3 linked regions of the Arabidopsis thaliana genome follow. The protein of the gene in region 1 purifies or fractionates together with the protein of each later gene. This does not show direct contact. Each region holds a gene or a part of one and is shown on either strand. Other genes may lie near its edges.

Region 1 (7,282 bases):
CTTGTTTTCGCATCCTAATTGTCAATTTCGGCGATATCATTTCTAATCATCAATTTTCTCCCTTTTCGAATTAGATCGGAATTATGTATAAATTTTTTGGTTGCGTATCTTTGACGTGAAAAAACCCTAATTTAGGTGGCTTTCCGCAGTTGAAAACCCTCGAAATTGGCCCTGCCATTTTCAATTTCTTTGATTTGGATTCTTCATGCTTTCCGTTTCTCGTTGTTTTTTTTGTTAGAAGAAAGACGTGAATTTGTTGTGATGTAATTTTTAGGATTATTCTCAAAGAGAGTAGCAGCTATGGGCTGGAAAGCTGCTGAGAAACTCATCAGACACTGGAAGATACTTCGAGGAGACAATGTGAGTACACCACTCATGTTCTTCTTGTGGTGTTCATTAGTTTGGTTTCATTTTTGATCTGTTGTTTCTGGGGTATGATTTTATGTGCAGGTAATGATAATTCGTGGGAAAGATAAGGGTGAGACTGGAACCATAAAGCGTGTCATTCGATCCCAAAATCGTGTCATCGTTGAAGGGAAGAATCTGGTGAGATAGTCTTGTTCTGGATATCTTTTGTTCGCTCTGTCTCATGCATTTAGAGAATGAATGTACAAGTTCATTTTTTGATTTTTTTGTTCTTGATTTGGTTTGTAGAGTATGAACTAGTACTGAATCAATATCATATCACTAGCTCAACACCAACCATAGAGTTATCAATTTTCATTTGATTCTCATTTTTTTAATCCAAGCATCAAGTAGACGGTTACTAAATCACAAAGCGACTCTAGTTCCATGGATTTCGCTACACAATTCTTTTGAATTGTTTATCTTGAAACTGTTATCGTTTTGGATGTTCTACCTTGCTGCTGGGATAGTCTTTGTCTACTCACTGAAGCTTGTATATGTTTTTCGCTGATGCTTTTTTTTTCCTGTGTTCTCAGATCAAGAAACATATAAAGGGAGGCCCTGATCACGAAGGTGGAATTTTCACTGTAGAGGCTCCTCTTCACGCCTCAAATGTCCAAGTTGTTGATCCTGTCACTGGGTATGATTTCACTCTGCACTACTGTCTCCAATTACTCTTTTGCTCAAGCGAGAGATCACTTATTAATCTATTATCTTTTCTACCACAGGAGGCCTTGTAAGGTTGGTGTAAAATACCTAGAAGATGGAACAAAAGTAAGAGTAGCCAGAGGCACTGGCACATCTGGTTCCATAATTCCCCGACCAGAGATTCTAAAGATAAGGGCAACGCCGCGACCCACAACTGGTACATAGAAGCTCAATATCTCTTTAAACGTTGGATTTTGGAAATATATAGTGGAAGTCTGTTAGCTATCTGAGAAAAAAACATAATCATAGATCGGCTATAAGATAAACATAGAATCAACATAATTCGTTTGCTATCAACATAATCAACAAACTTGATAGTAGCGGTTTTCTTATAGAAGGATTCATACTTTTCTCTTTGCAGCTGGCCCTAAGGACACACCAATGGAGTTTGTCTGGGAGCAGACATATGATGCTAAAACTGGAAAGGGCATGCCTGATCTTTGAGTTGAAACCTCTCTACAGTTTCGTTTGGAAAATGTTGCCTGCTCTCAAAAAGGATTCTTCTTTTTCCCATCCATTAGAGTTTGATTTCGGTCTAGAGCTGTGAGGTTTTGTTGGAGAACCTTTGATCATGACTGAAACGGAGTCGTTTTCCTTTTTTCTTTCATTGATCTTGTGAACTTTCAAGGTGCCAAATAAAATCCGTCTGGAAAACAGTTCAATATTTACATGTTTAGTTATTGTATATACACTAGCCAGAAGTCTAAACATAAAACGAAAACTATAAGCTCTAAGTAAAGTAGATTTATATTATGCAACCGAATTAACAATATTAACACAATGACATGATTTGCATTGTAATGAAATTTAAAATTTTGACAAAAAAAATATGGAAATTCAAATTGGTTATTAACTTTTATTTTTGGGGATGATTTGGAAATTTGGTGAATTATTGGTTACAATAAATAAAAGGAAATATTGAAGGACTTATATGTAATTAGTGTCGCCTAATCGAGTAATTCGATCCATCTTCGTCTGTCTTGTTAACAAAGAAAACTGAGAAAGGTTTTCTTATAAGATCCCATTCTTGTAGCAAAAACCCAGAAGAACAAACTTTCGAAGAAGACGACTAATCAATTCATCTGATTATGGAGAGACTACAGAGAATCTTCGGAGCTGGTGGCGGTTTAGGTCACGCATCGCCTGATTCTCCGACTCTCGATACATCGGAGCAGGTTTACATCTCTTCTCTCGCTCTCCTCAAGATGCTTAAGCACGGTAATCAATCCAAACCCAAGCTCTAATTTAGTCTTCTCTTGCTTAGGGTTTTATGATTTTGTCTCGTTCTCTGTGATTTTACTCTCGTCCTCTTTTGCTCTGGAACTCTAGGGTTTTATTCGATCTGTTTCTGAGATTCAAAATGCGGATTTGAGTAGAGATTTAATGAAAATTGATCGGAATATTGCAGGAAGAGCTGGTGTTCCTATGGAAGTCATGGGATTGATGCTTGGAGAGTTTGTGGATGAATACACTGTTAGGGTTGTGGATGTTTTTGCGATGCCTCAGAGTGGTACTGGTGTTAGTGTTGAAGCTGTTGATCATGTTTTCCAGACTAATATGCTCGACATGCTTAAACAGACCGGAAGGTAACTAGTTCTTCTCTAAACCTATTTACTACGCTTAAGTGAGGTTTCCTATTTAGGTTTTGGATCTGATTCTTCTTGTATCTTGTTTCAGACCTGAGATGGTGGTTGGTTGGTATCATTCACATCCTGGATTCGGCTGCTGGCTTTCTGGGGTTGACATTAATACTCAACAGGTAGAGTTTTGTTTGCTCTGTTTGCATACTTATCAATTTGTGAATTGCACTTGAGAATTTGTTGTTTGCTTTATTGATGGCTCAAAAAACTAAATAGAATGTTACTCATTGTGTTCTATACCCTGTTGTGATTCACTTTGTATTATATATGTTCATTGTGAATATCTGTGTGCTTTTGTAGAGTTTTGAAGCTTTGAATCAGCGAGCTGTAGCAGTGGTGGTAGATCCGATTCAGAGTGTGAAAGGAAAGGTGGTGATTGATGCGTTCCGCTCCATAAATCCACAGACCATTATGCTTGGGCAGGAACCCCGTCAAACAACATCGAACCTTGGGCACTTGAACAAACCATCGATCCAGGTGATTATCACTAACTGAATGTGTCCTGTTTTTAAGTTGAAACGAAATCAAAGGTTTTCTCTGATACTGACTTTTGGATACTACTATGCAGGCTTTGATTCACGGGTTGAACAGACACTATTACTCAATAGCAATCAACTATAGGAAGAACGAGCTTGAGGAGAAGATGTTACTCAACCTCCACAAGAAGAAATGGACAGATGGTCTGACGCTAAGACGCTTTGACACCCACTCCAAGACCAACGAACAGACGGTCCAGGTAAAGAAACACAGGGTTATGTTTTTATCTGTTCAAGCATATTCTACAATCATGTTCATTGACATTTTCATTATCTCCTGTTTAACAGGAGATGTTGAGCTTGGCTGCTAAATATAACAAGGCGGTTCAAGAGGAGGACGAGTTGTCACCAGAGAAGCTGGCAATTGTGAATGTGGGAAGACAAGATGCAAAGAAGCATCTGGAAGAACATGTCTCGAACCTCATGTCATCCAACATTGTTCAGACACTAGGCACTATGCTCGACACTGTTGTCTTCTAGAGAGCTTACTTCTCCAGCCGCTTCAAGTCATTGAGCTTTGTTCTTCTGCATCTCTTTGGCTTCTACTGAATGTTCTCTTTTTATCTGCTAGCTTTTTACAAGGTTGTACTGTACTATGTGATTTCGTTCGTTAAGGGCAGGGATCGATTTCTATTTCTTTGCATATTATTTTCAGATTTTATTTTCCTCCCATTTTTAGATTTTATGCTGCAACTTTCAAGTTAAGTGCTTTTGATAAGAATATGCAATTTCCCTCCTGGATTAAGTCTTTAGCGTAACCATGACAATGAAACTAAAACAAGTGAAGTTAACATCTTAATTTTGTAGCAAACAGCAATAACATCCAAATCTACGTTAAGTTCCACAGCAAATATACAAAAAACTGTGCTAGGATTTGTGAAGACGTGAACTTGATGTAAAGAGGCAATTATAAGCCATAAAGGGCATGGCACGTTACCGGTGCATCAAACAAGTCCTGCTTTGAACACATTTGGAGGAGATTGACCAATCGTTCAGCCAGAGCATCAAGGTTTTGGAACAAGAAATCTTTGACCTGATGTGTGTAAACTGTAGCTTAAAACTCGGTGTCAAAACAAGTCATGAAGATCTTTGAGACCATGGTTCTTGCAAAAGGGATGTAGCTCAAGCTATACCTGCAGTTTTAAAGAACACAAGGGATTCATTCTCCAAGATGAATGTTGACAGCTTTTGTGACAAACTCAGAAACCGTATAAGGAGCATTAGGTCCACTCGGGATAATATACTATTCGAAGAGTATATATCATGTAATTGTATTACTAAGAAAGTTAGGATAAAAATGTAAGAGCTTGAAAGCAAGTTTTAGCATACCAAATTAGACCAGTGAACTCAAGAATGATAGCCAGCAGTGTCAGAAGCTTGTTGCGAACCTGTACAGAAAGATGATGACAGATTATATTTAGTCCAACAAGGCATTTTCACTACCTAGTTTTAACTGAACATAAGCAATGTTGTGCATCCAGTATTTTGAATTGAGAAACCCCACTTACATAAAGAGCACAAAACAAGGCAATGATAATGCTTGCTAGATACAATGCAGTAGCGTAGATACGAGCTGGGTCAAGCATCATAGTCACCTGCCGCTGTGGGCCTATAAGGAATGCTGTGCTGCCATACAAAAGTGACATGAAACTTAAAATCCAGGAACAAAGAGAGAAAAATGGAGAAATACTGTACACACAGAATTGCGACACCAATGCAATATAACAAGAAGCTACACAAAATTCCAATACGAACCTCCCGAGTGCCATCAAATTTCCCAGAGTGAATGTGATGCCAAACTTGACCGGATTAAAGAAAACAAGCATCGACTGCATCGTCAAACAAATAAGAGATAAAGAGTTATATCACCAGTAAAAGAGCTAAGACAACCCAAAGTACAGAAGAAGAATACAGCTAAACCAATCAAATGATTCCTTTCAATGCAGAAATAAGGATAGTGCTTTCTAACATTGCTAAGACTTGAGAGTTATACTTACCAAAAGTGTACAGGTCAAACCTGCTGACAAGCAAATTGCAAAGCCATAAAATCTCTGTTTTCATAAACAAAAAAAACGAGATATTAGCCAAAGACAAACCCAATTCAAGATAATTTAACAGATTCTTGTAAACGAGACAACACTACAGGTTCATAGAGGAGCTAAATCCAAGTAGCGTCCTAATTTTTTGTAGTAGCAAGCCAAAACTTAGTCCTATTAATCAAACTGTTATCATACCACATGGAATTTTATAATCCTTCTCCTCCAAAAAATCATAGAACTGCTAAACACTTATCTCAAAATCTCTTGTATGTTATTGATCACATCATATGCATTCAATAGGAACTCATTTACATTTCTACCTCAGTGAGCTTACGAGCCTAACTTCTCTAATTGGACGAATACCTAGTCCGCATGTGAAATTACAAAAATTACCAAATTCAGAGGACTTGATCGAAGAATCTGGGGAAGTTAAGAACCTGTTTGGTAGTTAAAGCGCAATTGCGATTAAGATCTTCCATGAATGAGAGCGAGCTTTCTTCATCAGCAGCTTGTTGCTCGTCTTCAACCTCCATACCAACCAACATCTTCATCTTCTCAATAGCCTGATTCATTTTATCCATCTCTGTAAGTCCTCTTTCTGTAGTCTAAGCTCTTTCTTCCTAGTTCTAGTGATCAGATCTCACGCTTCTTCTTCTCAAATTGTGACAGTAGAACTGAAGTATGGTTGGATCTTCTCTGCAAAATTACGCAATGTGTGAGACTGAAAAATGAAAGAGACACTTTTCTTCGTAGGAGGAGAAAAGAAGAAAAGGCTTTAGTTGTTGGGCTTATTTTAAATTAAAATAAACTTAGCCCAATTGTTGGATCCATTAAGGTTTTATTTTCTTATTTTAAAAATTTACACATCCATTAAGGTTTTAATTAAGGCCCTTTAATTAATGAGTGGTTGACAAAAATAATATGTCAAAAATATCTTGAACTTTCAAAAAATGCCAACAATCCTCAACTTTGCTTCTAATTCGCTATTTTTGTTGATTTTTTTATTTTATTTTACTCACTTAATTTTTGTTGACTTCCCATTTTAATAGCTATTTTTTTTGTTGATTTTATCAGATATAACATATTATTTTGTTTCTTTTCTTTATATCATACAACTATATGCAATTGATATATGTAAAAAAATAACTAGATTTTTTTCTATAAATATAAGATTAACTAAAACTGAAAGAAAATATATATTATGTTTAAACTAGGTATAGATATTTTAGGAAATTAACAATTAATCGAAAAATATAAGAGAGAATTAATGATATAAATCGTTTTGTTAATTTCTTCTAATAATTTTTTGAAATCTTAAGAATTTAAGACAATAACATTCTATTGTAAATAAGTGTCAAATCCATGATTTATTTCAAAAATATCTACTAAAATGTGTATATAGATAACAACTCCTCACACAAATAATTTGTAACATAGTATTTTTTTTTCTTGTTTCCTATATTTAAGTTGGTCAATTACTTGTGATTTATTTTTTTAGTAAATAATCTCGTGGTTTGTTTTCTAAAAATGTTTTAATCAAAAATATAAAACGTAACTGCCAATCACACAAATGATACGTAACACATTTTGTTTCGTTTATTCTATATAGGTTGGTCAATTATTTTGTGATTTGCTTTTAGTAAATAATCTTGTGATTGTTTTCTATATAAACATTTCAATCATATCTTTAAAACAATAATTTTTTTCGCTTAAATGATATATAACATATTATTTTTTCTATATACATATATAATACAAGAAAAGAATTTAATTATATTTCTCTATTATATAAAATTTTGTCAATTACATAGTATGTAACTTTTATAGTACATAATATTATGATTATTTTGAGTTTTATAAGTTATATATAACCTTAATACAATAATTTCAGTATGGTTCCATTGTAAACATTTTCAAAAAATGTAAACCTAACAAAATATAAGTAAAAATTATA
Region 2 (7,288 bases), on another chromosome or scaffold:
AGGCAATGGATACATATCAAATATTTTCCTACGGACTCTTTACATTGTCAAATCGCAAATAAAATGTGCCGACTAGATTATATAGCAAGTTGCATACTAATGATTACTGCTATTACCAAACATTTCATGTAATGTATGATCTCTACAAGTTGATACTTTGCCGAGGCTATAACCCAATACACAATTTCCAACTCAGGCCTATTCTTTTCATACCGCGTTTGCATATAGGAATTACATGAGTTGTTTTTAAATAACGTTCTATTTTACAGTTACCAATGACCTTTTTATCTGTTAGTCTTCATTAAATAACTAGTCGCATACAAAGTAAACATCTCTATATATATGGTCCGTTTTTGGCATATCTAGTGATATAAGTTAGGGTTTAAATATCAAATGCATCTGTAATTGAAAGTATGTGGTTTATAGAATTAAAAAAAAAAGAAGGAACAAATACATATATATATATATATATATATATATATATATATATATATCGTGTGTTTTATAAATAAAGCGGATTACTCATTACCTACGCATGTTTACGTTCTCATTAGTAATTGAAATCTATAAGTTATGTGGCTCATCCAGAACAACGCCATATATAGATGGCGTGTGTTTTATAAATAAAGCGGGTTACTCATTATCGTGTGTTTTAAATGCTACTCATCTCTCCTGTTATATGTGGAATCTTTTGCTACGAAGTAGGGCTACAATATATTAAGACATTTTCCGCAACAGTGCTTACAAGCTTTTAAGCCACATAATATTGAATAATTATGATTTCCCTCCAAACTCTCGAAGGGCTGCTAATCGATGGAATCTGTCGCTTCTGTAAATGTCGCATCAAACATATAACTGAATTGTATTTGAATTACATGCATAACCACAATAATTCATGTGTTTTAACATTATCGCAGACGTCATGCGCGACGTGTCGTTTATCTGGTGGATGCTTAGTGGTTATCCTATGTTATATTTATACGAAACACGTTGTTTTTGGAATTTGTTTCACCCCTTCCCCCAATGCAACATTGGAACTCGTATATAACACTGTCGCCGCATTTAATGCAATAGATACGTATCAAATATTTTCCTACGGATAGATTTACATTGTCAAATCGCAAATAAGATTTGGCGACCATATTATGTAGCAAGTTGCATACTAATGATTACTGATATAACGAAACATTGCATGTAATGTATGATCTCTATAAGTTGATACTTTGCCGAGTTTATTGCCCAATACACAATTTCCAACTCACGCCCATTGTTTTCATACAGCGTATGCATATAGGAATTACATGTGTTGTTTTTAAATAACATTCTATGTTACAGTTACCATTGACCTTTTTATCTGTTAGTCTCCATTGAATAACTAGTCGCATACAAAGCAAACATCTGTATATATATATGGTCCGTTTTTGACATATTTAGTGATATAAGTTAGTGTTTAAATATCAAATGCATCTGTAAAATCTAAAAGGTATGTGGTTTATAGAATTAAGAAAAAAATGAACAAATACATCTATATATATCGTGTGTTTAATAAATAAAGCAGGTTACTCATTATCTACGCATGTTTATGTTCTCATTGGTAATTGAAATCTATAAGTTATGTGGCTCATCAGGAACAAAAACATATATAAATGGCGTGTGTTTTATAAATAAAACGGGTTACTCATTACCTACGCATGTTTATGTTCCCTACATATAGACACCTAGTGTCGGAACTCACGAGTTCCCGTCTATTTTTCCAGGTTATTTTGGTTATTTTACACCCCAAGAAAAAACTATTTACTAAAGTTTTCTGACGTATGACTATTTTGCTAATTTGTATGTCGAATTTGGCTAGTTAGCTAATTGACACAATTTTAATACTCTTTGTTTCCAACCAAATAATACAAGATTTTATCAAAAACAAAATATCAAATTAAAAATCTAATAACATGTGACTTTATTTGTTTAGATTTCTAAATTAATTTTATTCCAAACCAATTTAAACTACACATGCTAAATTATTAATTTTCATAAAATTAGAAATAATAAAATACAATAACTTGTAATTCCCTCTAGTCCATGAAGTTTGATGTTTTAAATTTTACTTTTGTTTCACAAAAGTTGATGTTTTAAATTAATATTATTTTCATTAGTGATCAATAGAGAAAGGAAAAAAAGTAGAACTGATATTATTAAATTAATTAAAAAAATAATAAATGAATTATAAACACGAGAGGGAGGCAAGAAAAAACTACTACAACAAGAGCACCATCATCGGAAAATACTTCATGGAGAAAACCGACAGTTTCTTTTGTCAAGTGCAATTTCGATGCGGACTTACACAGGAATAGTACTTAAAGTACGGGTGGATGGATTATACGAGACCATGAAGGGATAGCAAACACATGAGGATCTTCAATTTTAGATCATGTCAACACTCTCCTAAAGGCTGAGACGAAAGCGTTACTTGTGGCGATGCAACAAATTTGGATACAAAAATACAAGAAAGTACAATTCCAAAGAGATTGCGAAGTCCTCATTAAAACCATCAATGGCAAGTCTAATAGAAGTAAAATTGCTAATTTACTTCTAGATTTAGAGTATTGGTCTTCAGATTTTCATCTATTGTATTTACTTTCACAAAACGTCTTTGTAATAGTATAGCTCACCATTTAGTTTTCCTAATTTTACGATTTTTGTGTTTTAAGCGGACTATTTTGCTTCCCCAATTTTTACGATTTCTGTGTTCAAAGCAGACTTTAGGAACGAGCCAATTTGGTTCAAAAACCTTCTCTGTAATGATCTACATTCATAGATTAAAACATAGTTTGCAGTAAGAAAAAACAATAAAAATAATATAAAAGTTATTTTTTTTAATTTGTGAAAAATCCAAAATATCATTGTTTTAGGATCAGAGGGAATAGTAAATTTATAATCAGTGTAGTGAAAAATGTGTAAATAAATAATGTAAAACCAATTGAAACTGCAAATGTTAAATTATGAATTAAATTAATTACTATAAAAAGAAATAATATAATGCTAAGTATTTATTTATAAAATTATAATCCTTTTAAATGTGTAAAAAATAATAAAGAGTAATGGATAATTAAACCCAGCCCATTAAGTTTCATAAGCCCATTTTACTCTACTGTCTTCTTTCTCTTTTTTTTGACAATCTTTACTTTCTTCTTCTAAGCTCTATAAGAGAGACCATCCTCCTCTAGCTTGAAGCAAACGAAAAGCTTTTGAAGAACAGAGGAACAAGAAGAAGAAAGATGTTCAGGAACCAGTACGACACAGATGTGACAACATGGAGTCCCACAGGTCGACTATTCCAAGTCGAATACGCCATGGAAGCTGTGAAACAAGGCTCCGCAGCAATAGGACTCAGATCTCGCTCTCATGTCGTCCTCGCTTGTGTCAACAAAGCACAATCAGAGCTCTCTTCTCATCAAAGGAAGATCTTTAAAGTCGATGATCATATTGGTGTTGCTATTGCTGGTCTCACTGCTGATGGTCGTGTTCTCTCTCGATATATGAGATCTGAGTCTATTAATCACTCTTTTACTTATGAGTCTCCTCTTCCTGTTGGTCGTCTTGTTGTTCATCTTGCTGATAAAGCTCAGGTAAATTGAGATTTTTGGGTTAACTTTTGAATTTTGACCTAGAATTTGCTAAAGGGTTTAGTTTTATGATGTGTGAGTATCTGAAAGTTTGAAGCTTTATGTAATTGGAGTAAAGTTTAGGTTTTTATTAGCAATGTGGCCAATTTTATTTGTAGAATGTGTGTGTTGTTATGCAAGTAGTGATATTGGTTTGTGATCAAGTCTTAGTGATTGGGAATTAGAGATTCTTGTGTTGTTAATCATATCCAGTTCTGTTGCTAGTTGCTTAATCCGATTAGAAAGAGTTAACCTGTATACCCACTTTGACGATAGAAGTGTATAAGAATGTGATGATTTTGGTCGTTTGGTTGTTTCTGTGTTGTCATCGTCTGTTCTCTTTGCTTGATAGAGTTGTTTTTGCTTGCAATTCTAGAATAAATATACGTCTTTGTTGATCTCTTTTTGGTTTTGTGGTTTTGACTTGTATTACTTTGCATTTGTTTACTTACTTGTAGTTGTAGTATGTCCTGGCCACTTTATTTACTTGCCTAATGAAGTATATTTTCAGTAAGATGTTGGTTTACAGTTGTGATAGAAATTTGTGCTACATGTTCACTACTTTTGGTGTTAAACGTAGTGTTCTCAAGTTAGATGATGTGTTCACAATTTTTAAAAGGTTTGATTGCTACGTCCCACTTACTTTCATGTCTGTCAAAAATTAAGTTAGCTGCTGTATCTACATTTTCAATTGATTTCTGAGAACGTATTGATATCAGTCTTGTAGTTTGAACAACACTCTGATTTCATTCAAATGTTAAGTCATTTGTTTGTCTTGTATTAAACATCTTCATAAATTATCTTTGAGCAGGTATGTACCCAACGATCATGGAAACGGCCTTATGGTGTGGGTTTGCTGGTAGGTGGATTGGACGAGTCAGGAGCTCACCTCTACTACAACTGCCCTAGCGGAAACTACTTTGAATATCAAGCATTCGCTATCGGGTCTCGTTCACAAGCTGCGAAAACCTATCTGGAGCGCAAATTCGAGAGCTTCCAAGAATCATCAAAAGAAGATCTGATAAAAGATGCTATTATGGCCATAAGGGAAACTTTGCAAGGGGAAACACTGAAGAGCTCGCTCTGCACTGTTTCTGTTCTAGGAGTCGATGAACCATTCCATTTCTTGGACCAGGAAAGCATTCAAAAGGTGATTGATACGTTTGAGAAGGTTCCTGAGGAAGAGGAAGATGCTGGTGAGGGTGAGGCCGAACCCGAAGCTGCTCCTGGTGCTGCTGGAACTGGTGAACAAGGTGGTTCAGGTGATCAAGATGTTGCACCAATGGAAATTTGAGCAAGAGGGAATGAGTTCAAAGTTGGATTTTCTAACCAATTTTCTTGTGTGTAGCTCTTTGATATGTTCCAACTTCCAAGTACAATTGTGGTTTTTATTCGGCTTTGTTTATTTAACAGCTTGGAACAAGGAGTTATTGAGTGCCACTAGCTTATGTTTAGTCCTACTTAAGTCAAATCTGTCACATGATAATAATAATCGGCGAATCGCCAACCTAGAGAGTGTATCAAACAGACACCATTTTGAATGAGAGAAACAGCGAGAGAAAGAATGAAAGATTAATCCAACTTTGTTTCTCTTTCTGCAAATTGTTCCTCGAAGAAATGACTTCATAATGCAACCATACATTATTGAGCAAGGATGATAAATCTCCTGCTTGCTCGGAAGAAAAGTTAAAACCAAAATAATATCTCTCTTGACCTTCCAGAGAATCAATCCTGTCTTGAAATGATTTCAACACACAAAAACAACCTGAGATTGGAATTAGAAGTACTGAGTAGACGGAACCTTGGCGACGGGTTTACCACCTGGTAAGACATTGTCGGGAAGAATCAACTCCGGTGGAGTTTCACGGGTAATCCCAAGCATTGAATCGTAATCCTCGTCCTTGCGTGCATACTTCTTCCTAAGCGCTCTCTCAACCTCGATCTGCTCAAATGACTTTGAATTCTCTGAGGCGTGAATCTGTGCGAGATTGATGTAATTCTTTGCTGACTGTGAGATGTATACTATCTCTTCATCTGTTAACTTTCTCATGAACTTTGCTGGATTTCCTCCCCACACCTGCCACATGAAACTGATAACTTATAGATATGTCCTTGTAAATATATTCTCAGGTTGACGGTTGAAGAAAGTAGTTCAAAAGCATAGCGATATAAGAAATCCGTCTAATTCCTCATAAAACATTGGAAACACAAGAACCCTCTGTTACTCCCAACTCACCCTTGTTTCATATACAAGTAGAATTGCAACGGAAACAAAGGTGGTTCTCAGATTTAGACGATATATAAATACTATTTACTCTTCTTTTTGATCAAAATATAATACAATTTACAGGCATATCATTTCATTAACTAATTCTGTATCAACTAAATTGTAAGCAAAGCAAAAGTGGATCTACTTGAAGAAGTTCAGCTGGTCAAGCCTTAGCTACAGGTCAGCGTAGGACTAAATGCAGCAGACTACAGCTGCTATTACTTGGTTAATTAGCAGTTCGTTATTAGGCTTGGTAGAGCTTCAGGGTCCGTGATAAGTAAACCTAGCTAGAGTTCTATTTTTGGTTCTTGATACTTTGGATTTTCTCGTTCAGTTTAGTGAGAAATAAAGCAGTTTCCAGTTCCAGTCTTATCACAAACTCCGTAAGCAGTAAACCAGAAAAGATAAAGTGGAAAGAAAGAAACCTCTCCAGAAGGGATTCGCGTGTTCTGTTTCACAAGAGAACCAGCAGCAACCATGGCATGTTTCTCAACCACCACACCATCAAGTAGTGTTGCTCCCATACCAACAAAAGCATCATCCTCAACAGTACACCCATGAATGACAGCACTGTGACCTGCTCCGTTTCATTTTACAAACAAAACCTTTAACTAACAATCGTGTAACACAACATAAAAACAGATACTTCAAAACTGATAAATCGCTTTTTAAGGTTTACCTACTGTTACATTGTCCCCAATCAGAGTAGGTAGAACCTTGCCACTTATGTTGGTCTTTGCAACATGTACAAGCGTATTATCTTGGATATTCGTCCCAGATCCAACACTGATGTTATTCACATCACCTGCACAAGTTAGAAACCCAGATTAACATACAATAAGTTTCACAGCTACTTCATGACACATTTTATCGACAGTACAATAAATCTATGTCCAATGATCAGGACAGTAACGTATAACAGCGATACAAGATTATTAGAAGGTAAAGAGAACTTCATTTCCTAAAACTAAACTATGACTACTTTGCACAATATACTGCTGCAAAATTTGGTACTTCTATCGAACCAAAGGCCATTAAGACTTTCTAGAAGTAATAAAGCCTCACCTCGAAGAACACAGCCATACCAAATCGACGAGCCTTTTCCGATCTGAACATCACCAATAACAGAAGCACTCGGAGCCACAAACACATCTTTATCCACCAATGGTGATTTATCAAACACATTCATCAACGTCCGATGCCTCGACACTGAAAACAAACACAAATTTCTCGAATCAAATTTTTTCAATCTAAGCCACAAATTTCTCCAATCAAAGGTGAAGACACAAATTAGAGATAACGAATTGGATCTAGGGTTTCAATAGAGAGTATTAAGTGGAAGGATCTGGAAGCTTACGAT
Region 3 (7,860 bases), 8.3 Mb from region 1:
TCTCTTGACTTTGAATCCCAAATGTGAACCATCTTAGTTCGATTGACTCGAATCACTCGTCATGTGTCGAAACATGATTGTGCAAGTCGCTGTGTGGGCAAGATTCTTCATCATGGCGAAGACTAAAACAAGAAGCACAGTAGCCGAAAAGGTTTGAACAGTTCCTAGCTCATTCCCTATTCTCCGGAAATCCTGATCAGTTCAGAAATCCCGAGGAACACCCACGATTCGGACCCAAAATGTGATGGCCGATGGGTAGTCCTTGTGTATAATCGGTTCCCACCTTACAATAGAAAGCATCCAATGATTATAATTGAAAGTCTCCGTTTTCATCACCTCAAGAATATCTTCCTCTCTCTCGAAATCTAACCTGAACGTTCCCAATCCCAAGTCCCTCCCAACCACTTGACCCTCTAGTTTCCAGATTCTAGGCATCATCAAAACTAGTGATCCAACACTCTGAACGTCAGGATTCATAATCTTTCCGATAAGTGTCGTCCTCTTTAACCTTCTGATTAATTCCGAGTTGTCAAACATGCGAACTCGAATTGTTCTTGGCAGGGGCTTAATGCCCTTGCCATTGTTTTCTCCAAACCGCGACATGGTACCGTAAGAAACCGAGTTTGATCGTATGTAATGTCAATGTGTGAGTGTGACCTTGTCTGAATATTAATCTAATTTATAACACATAAGATCATCGGTGAAACTGCTACATGAATGAATCACAATTCGAATCATGAGGATCTCTTACATAATATTAACATAAATTGACAAGTTATTTTTGCATGATTGAATTCCATTACTGTTCCCCAGTGATTCTAATTTTTTTGACTAAGGAAACCATATCAATAATCAAGGATTCCGTAATCTGTTTATTATGACATTTCTATTACAGGATCCATTATGATTCATCCCACACGAAGATTTTCAAACTTGTGATTGTGAGCGTAACATAATCGAATCGATTACAAAGATATAAACTAACTAAAATATGTTAATTTATATTTTGTTTTTTTATATATATATATATTTATGATTTTAATAAAACAATCATATTATTTTAATGCGTTGTTGTTTTTGTTTTCACAATTCTATTATTATTTCGAGCATCTCTTATTTTTGTATCTCCACCAATTCTTTTATCATTTTTTATCATTTCTTATAAAAAAGTGTAATTCAATCATTTTACAATATAGTATGTATGCATTCCAAAAAACATTATTGTATGAAACGAAACGAAACGAAACGAAACGAAGGAGTAGACGGTGGATATCAGCCTTAATTAATTAGAGTCAAAGCATTGTGATTAGTTTGACTTTTACATCCGTCACTATGTCAACGTTAATGTATTTATCCCCAACTTGCTAATGATAGAACAATATTTATTTTGATTTATCTTGAATTTCAACAGGTTAATTAGCTAATTATAGTTATAACATTTAAAAAAAACTCAGATGCGTGAACAAGATCGCAAACTAATTCCATGCATAATGCATCTCTTGACTTTGAAATGCATTTCTTGACTTCGAATCCCAAATGAACCATTTTGTTATATACTTAATATATAATATATTATATATATATATAACTTAAAGCGTGACATTGTTCTCCCAATTATATAGTTAATCACTATAAACTACAACTTGGTTTGATAGTCAAATTCAAAACCAAGACTCAATATCACTAAGTCTTCTCCATTAACGCTATAAATAGATTGAAATCCTAAGCTAATTACAATCACAAACACAAACACAAACAAAACGCCTCTCAATACTAAATCAAGAACATTGAATAAAACAATGTCTTCACGACAATCGGTGAGGCACCCGAGTCACAACCATCCATTGCGCGGTCACAAATGCGAAGCCAAAGACGAAATCATCTGCTCCGGTTGTGATCTCGATCTGGTTGGTGCAGCTTTCAAATGCACAAAGTCATCAGATTGTGATTACTTCTTGCACAAGTCATGTTTTGAACTTCCACGTGAAACCAACCACAAATCTCACCAACCCCACACTTTGACTTTAATCTATTCCCCAAAGTCAACGTACACGTGTAATGCTTGCGGCGAATACGGATCAAGTTTCACGTACAACTGTTCAATCTGTCAGTACGATGTACATGTCGGATGTGTTTCAATGCCTGAAACAGTGAAGCGTGAAGATCACCCACATCCACTTACTCTTCTTTACGGTTCTCCTTATAACCAACCCGGTTTAGTTTCCAAATGCGATGTTTGTGAAGACATTGTACCGGATAATCTCTGGTCGTATTATTGCAAGGAATGTGATTACGCTACGCATTTACACTCATGTAAGAAAGAGGAAGAGGCAAAGAAAGAAGATCAAAAAGGAGAAGGAAGTAAAAACTCGATGAATTCGGAGTTAGCTGCAATGTTAGAGGCTCAAAGAGAAGTGGAGAGGATGCAGATTGAGATGCATTTGGCGATGCAAAGTGCTTTGATTTCGAAAAAGGCGAATAAGGCAGCTCTCAATTGCATCTAATTCGAAGAAGTTGGGATTCTTCAAATTCTCTTTACTTGTGTCTGTTTTTCTTCTTTTTGTTGCTTTTTCTTGATTTATGTTGTTGTTGCTCCTGCAAACTTTTCATGTTGTTGTTGTTGTTGTTTTTTTCTTTGAAATTGTTATCTGAAATAAAAGAATTATCAGTTTTTTTTTTTGAACGATTATTGCTGCTTTCGTTTTTGTAACCATGTTACCTTTGCATACTATGTTTCAAGTTCCATAATCCATTTTATATTACTATAGGAAAAATATATAAGTATTGGATCACCCCTACTTATAGATTAAAAATATTGGGAATAAAGTATTGAAATTGTGAGATTTGGGGTTATTTAAAGTAGTTTGTGTTAGTGTTATCGATGTGTTAATAACGGATGGTAAAATAAAATCTAAAGTTTAAGATTTAATTATATCTATATTATCAATATAGTATTAATTACATTTTATTTTATATTTCTGTCAATGTTATTTGTTCGTAAAATCAAATTGATCTCAAAACTGAATAAAAAACAAACAAATCCAGACCTTGCAAATGCAAACACACAATTAGAAGTGATGATGTCAAGAAAAACACACACACAATTAGAAGTCACATAATCATTAGGGAGTTAACAAATGGGCTCATTTTGACAGAAGTTAAGCCCATTAAAGTAAAGATAGGCCCATTTATAATAGAGCCTCAAAAATAGTTTAATTGAGGAAGAAGAAAACTCTCTGCTAAAGTTGCTTGCTTTCTTCTTCTTCTCCGATTCGAGCTTCCTTCCTCTCAGCAAAACCTTCAAGTAAAGGTAACATCACTCTTCTATAAGCTTAGATTTTTCACTTTTATTCTTCATACTGTCGTCTCCCTGGATTCTATCTTCTCGATTTTGGTGATTCGAACACGATTTTACCTATCCTTGAGCGATCTCGATCCCAACTTTTTGAGTTGATTTTATTTCAGGAGTTTTCAAAAAATCTGTTGTTAGTATGTGATTATTAGTTTCTACACTCTGTTCTTCTGGTTTCGTATCATCAGCTAGCTAGCTTTGGTTCTCGAATTTTGCTTCTCAAGATTCAAATTTCACTTCGTTACTCGTTTTTTTTTGTTTGGGTGATGATTTGATTTTTCCTCATTTTGTAGAGTGGTGAATCGGAAAATGTCGCAGTCTTCCGTCGATATACCGCCAAAAGGTGGGTTTAGCTTCGATCTGTGCAAAAGGAATGATATGCTGACACAGAAGGGTCTTAAAGCGCCGTCGTTTCTCAAGACTGGAACGACTATCGTTGGATTGATATTTAAGGTCTTTGTTTCTATCTCACATTCTCTACAATGTAATGGGTTTTGGGTTTTCTTTTATAGCTTTTGAATGGTTAGCATAGTGTTATTGTTGGATAGTGAGTGCTCTATTTTGGTTGTTTGCAAGTTATGGAACTATGGAAGTGAACATAGTGACCTAAGATTTAAGAATTGTGGGCTAAGATGCAAATGTGATTGAACTTGTGTTTGTGGATGGCTGCTTATCAGTGAATTGGGCACCTGATAGCTTTAGATAAGATAACATGAAAGTCTGAGGTGTTGTTGCTTTCTCAACCCTTGACCATATGACATCACGTTGATGTTTTTATGGTCTATTTACCTCTATATTCTACAACATTTTATGAAACATGTGATTATGATGTGACATTCTCTTTTAGATGATTACTGATTTCATTTATCTGTTTTGTATAGGATGGTGTAATACTTGGGGCTGATACACGGGCAACTGAAGGGCCTATTGTGGCTGATAAGAACTGTGAGAAGATTCACTACATGGCACCAAACATTTACTGTTGTGGTGCAGGAACCGCTGCTGACACTGAAGCAGTAACTGGTAATTTTCTTAACTTCCAAATTTCTTTACTGCTACCCTAGATCAAAGTTGAATTTCTCGGAACTTCTGTTAACTCGATCAAAACCCAATGCTTAAGTTATTTTGATTGCTATTTCACTGTTCAGATATGGTCAGCTCACAGCTGCGGTTGCATAGATACCAGACTGGCCGAGATTCTCGAGTCGTTACTGCATTGACCCTTCTCAAAAAACATCTTTTCAGGTATTTTTGCTTCACCATGCTCAGAAAATTGTTATCTTTACTAATAGGCATACATAATTTAACTTCTCAAGTATCATTCAGCTACCAAGGCCATGTCTCAGCTGCTCTTGTGCTTGGTGGAGTTGATATTACCGGGCCTCATCTTCACACGGTGAGTTTCAAATTCCTGATCAAAATTCTCAGCTGTAGAAAGCCTTTTTCAGGTTCTTTCATTTTGTATTCCATCTCTAATGTTCTGGTCAAAATGCAGATATACCCACACGGTTCTACTGACACTCTACCATTTGCTACAATGGGTTCTGGTTCCCTTGCTGCCATGTCAGTGTTTGAAGCAAAGTATAAAGAAGGTCTAACTGTAAGTAAAGCAGAGACATTTATCTTTATGTTGTTTAGATCTCTTCTTGGCTGTTTGTTTGATGATTGACTCAAATCTTCCAGAGAGATGAAGGAATCAAGTTGGTTGCTGAAGCCATATGCTCTGGTATATTCAACGACCTTGGTAGTGGTAGCAATGTGGATATCTGTGTGATCACTAAGGTTTGTCATACTCCATCTTCCTCTGCTTTTAATAGATAACTGAAGTATCTAGAAATTCGTTTGCTTCATGACTGACAGATATTAAGCTAAACCAAAGTGATTCGCTACAAAACCAGTACTCTGGATTACCTATATCTTCGATTTGAAACTGATTGTTTGAGATGATTTTGGGACAGGGGCACAAGGAATACTTGAGGAATTACATGGAACCAAACCCAAGAACCTATGTTAGCAGCAAAGGCTATTCATTCACCAAGAAAACCGGTAAGAATCTACTTGTTGCAACACTTACTCGTCTCTGGTATCAGTCATGATTATTGAAGTGTTAAACTTGGTTTAATTCGATCTTCCTCTTCTTCTTACTGTTTTTGTTTCTCTGTGAAAACAGAGGTTCTACTCACCAAAATTACACCATTATTGGAGCGAGTCGAAATTGTAGAAGTGGCTGGTGAAGCTATGGAGGAATGAATCTCGTGTGAGAGACAGATACTAAGAGTGAAACCATTGTTCTACCTCACATGACAGTCATGTTTACATTTTCTACTTTGTTCAATATGAACGACTAAAATCGAATCGTAGTTGCCTCCATTTCGTCTTTAAATTTGGCTTGAACTTGTGATTAATGATTATGGATGATTCGGTTTTGAAATTTAGCTCTCACATAATTTTCAAAAGAGCTCTTTCTTACAAACAAAATTGTGCTCTTTCTTTTTTTGTCCACAACATCTTAAGACAACTCATCATTCTTACTCTTTTTCTTCCTAGAAGCAAAGCTACTTGGTCCAATCTCTAGTGACATTCTCTTTGTTCTGTAGAAGAGACCAAATTGAGTTATTATGAGACACAATCAAAAGGATGATTGTAAAAAAAGAGAAGAGCAAATATAGTAATGTACCTTTCTGAGAGCTCTTCAGATTCTTTGTCATCACAATGAGAACCTGTACCCAAATCAGATGCAAATCTAATTAAAGTTTCGATATGAGATGACAGTAGAACCAAAAAACAAAAGAGAGCAACCTTTACAGTTTTCTTCATCAGTCTCTTCATCTAACTCTGAATCAGAACTTGACTTAGGCATCCAAAAGTCGGATTCCTCAGAACCAGAATCTTCCTTATTGTGTCTTGGATTGTTTACTTGTGTTTCCTCAGTCCTTCCGCTTGATCCAGCTCCTCTTTCCACTTGCTCTATCAAATTTATCAACATCAAAACATTATAAGCCAAGACATACTAACTAAGATTCATTACACGATTTCAATGAATCTGATATCATGGGAGAAACAATTTTTATAGACCTAATTTGTGAAGAAATCTTTTCCCATTCACGTGTTTCCAGATATGTTCCTCGTTCTTGTTCACAGTATCTCCAGTTAGCTTGCACACAAGTTTCGAGCTGAGAACATAGCCAAAAGCAGGGAGAAAGCTTATAACTTGTAACCATTTTCAATACTGGCAAAACCAGAAGAAAGCTTACAACTTTAAACCATTTTCGATGCTGCGAACAAAGCCAAAAGGCTCAAAATCAGAAGAAAGATTATAACTTTTATAACCATTTTCAATGTATTCCACACTGACTGAAATTAACAACCAATGCTCCTCAGTGGTCTAAAGAAAAAACAAAATTAACCAGCTTTTTACTAGTAGCAGAAACTATGAAGCAAGGATCTAAACGAAACTTGAGCTAATACAATCTGAAACTCTAGAGAAATCCAAAGTCACAACTTTTAGCTCTCAAAACAGTGAAAGTTTCATCCTTTCTTGCTCAGAAAACAATCGAAGTTTCACAAAATAATCAAAACAGAGAGAAACATCATAACCCTCCAAAATTAAAGCTTGAATCGTGAGATTAGTAGAATTTGTGGATGATTCAATCTTACACTCTTATAAACCTAACCCCCAACTAAAAAAATCTGATTTTCCCAGAAACACACAAAAATTTGAGAAACTTATTTGACTAACCGAGAAAGTGGGCATTGCGAGAACATGTTGAGAGGAGGCTTTCCTAGAGACAAAGCGTGATTGATGAGTCCTAAACGACACCGTTTGTTACGAGCGTATGATTCTACGTCTCCCGCTAAAACCTCGTGACCAGTCTCGACGCATCTGAGCCGTCCGTTTCCAAGATCAACGAACGTCGGAGACCCAAACAGACTCTTCCCTTCTTTCGCCTTCTCCTTCATCATCGTCACCGATTCACTTAAGCTTAAGGAAGCATAGACTCTCTCTATTATTCGTGGACAACAAAATTGAACCGAACCGAATTGTATTCAATAATTTTGTTTTGGTGTAAACGATAGCTTTACCGAATAAATTTAACCGAACGCAACCAATAGACATTTTAGGTCTGATTAGTAACACATTACAAATTTTCTGGTTCTAAACCGAAGCGGTAAATGTTTAGGGAACCTTTTTTTTTTTTTTTGGTCAAATGTTTAGGGAACCTTAAATTCAATTTATACTATTAATATAATCTCGTACTCGAACAAGTGGTCGATTGATCAGTCATGAGATCTTTGGACATGGCCCATGGTACTCTATGACGTTCCAAAATCAAAGAAGTGGAACTTTTCGCAAACTGATAATCCAAGATTATTACTCGACCATCTCCTAATTCTAGCCTCAAATCCTTGGTGCAACATTTCTCTATGAGTTCACACAAATGCTTTAGATTCTCCACCTTCACTTTGTTGACGCTGTTCACCTGTTTCCATCACAAAAATATTATTGC

The links. The genes of interacting proteins can lie anywhere in the genome.
Region 2: the proteins of AT5G23540 (region 1) and PAF2 fractionate together in Arabidopsis thaliana (co-fractionation; one large-scale study listed by BioGRID). This does not show direct contact.
Region 3: the proteins of AT5G23540 (region 1) and PBB2 fractionate together in Arabidopsis thaliana (co-fractionation; one large-scale study listed by BioGRID). This does not show direct contact.

The regions. Positions count from the first base shown.
Region 1 is NC_003076.8:7,935,571-7,942,852, forward strand, and holds AT5G23540 (Mov34/MPN/PAD-1 family protein), read left to right. Parts: upstream 1-2,059; 5' UTR 2,060-2,201; coding exon 2,202-2,331; intron 2,332-2,521; coding exon 2,522-2,699; intron 2,700-2,790; coding exon 2,791-2,872; intron 2,873-3,053; coding exon 3,054-3,230; intron 3,231-3,321; coding exon 3,322-3,489; intron 3,490-3,577; coding exon 3,578-3,769; 3' UTR 3,770-4,034; downstream 4,035-7,282. Other genes in the region: AT5G23535 (KOW domain-containing protein), read left to right, coding at 301-360, 451-546, 942-1,045, 1,134-1,270, 1,475-1,557; AT5G23550 (Got1/Sft2-like vescicle transport protein family), read right to left, coding at 4,344-4,422, 4,619-4,677, 4,798-4,915, 5,045-5,118, 5,287-5,340, 5,766-5,909. UniProt on the Arabidopsis thaliana protein: Metalloprotease component of the 26S proteasome that specifically cleaves 'Lys-63'-linked polyubiquitin chains. The 26S proteasome is involved in the ATP-dependent degradation of ubiquitinated proteins.
Region 2 is NC_003070.9:17,315,948-17,323,235, forward strand, and holds PAF2 (20S proteasome alpha subunit F2), read left to right. Parts: upstream 1-3,171; 5' UTR 3,172-3,272; coding exon 3,273-3,623; exon of another isoform or gene 3,624-4,470; coding exon 4,471-4,953; 3' UTR 4,954-5,255; downstream 5,256-7,288. Other genes in the region: GAMMA CA2 (gamma carbonic anhydrase 2), read right to left, coding at 5,437-5,736, 6,354-6,505, 6,608-6,733, 6,994-7,137, 7,286-7,288.
Region 3 is NC_003076.8:16,246,253-16,254,112, reverse strand, and holds PBB2 (20S proteasome beta subunit PBB2), read left to right. Parts: upstream 1-3,187; 5' UTR 3,188-3,310; exon of another isoform or gene 3,311-3,553; intron 3,554-3,645; 5' UTR 3,646-3,661; coding exon 3,662-3,805; intron 3,806-4,233; coding exon 4,234-4,375; intron 4,376-4,500; coding exon 4,501-4,597; intron 4,598-4,678; coding exon 4,679-4,748; intron 4,749-4,847; coding exon 4,848-4,952; intron 4,953-5,035; coding exon 5,036-5,134; intron 5,135-5,310; coding exon 5,311-5,398; intron 5,399-5,522; coding exon 5,523-5,602; 3' UTR 5,603-5,827; downstream 5,828-7,860. Other genes in the region: AT5G40595 (uncharacterized protein), read right to left, coding at 34-192, 337-603; AT5G40590 (Cysteine/Histidine-rich C1 domain family protein), read left to right, coding at 1,800-2,504; AT5G40570 (Surfeit locus protein 2 (SURF2)), read right to left, coding at 5,862-5,943, 6,030-6,072, 6,152-6,319, 6,428-6,525, 6,607-6,627, 7,092-7,315; DEG13 (protease Do-like protein), read right to left, coding at 7,594-7,833. UniProt on the Arabidopsis thaliana protein: The proteasome is a multicatalytic proteinase complex which is characterized by its ability to cleave peptides with Arg, Phe, Tyr, Leu, and Glu adjacent to the leaving group at neutral or slightly basic pH.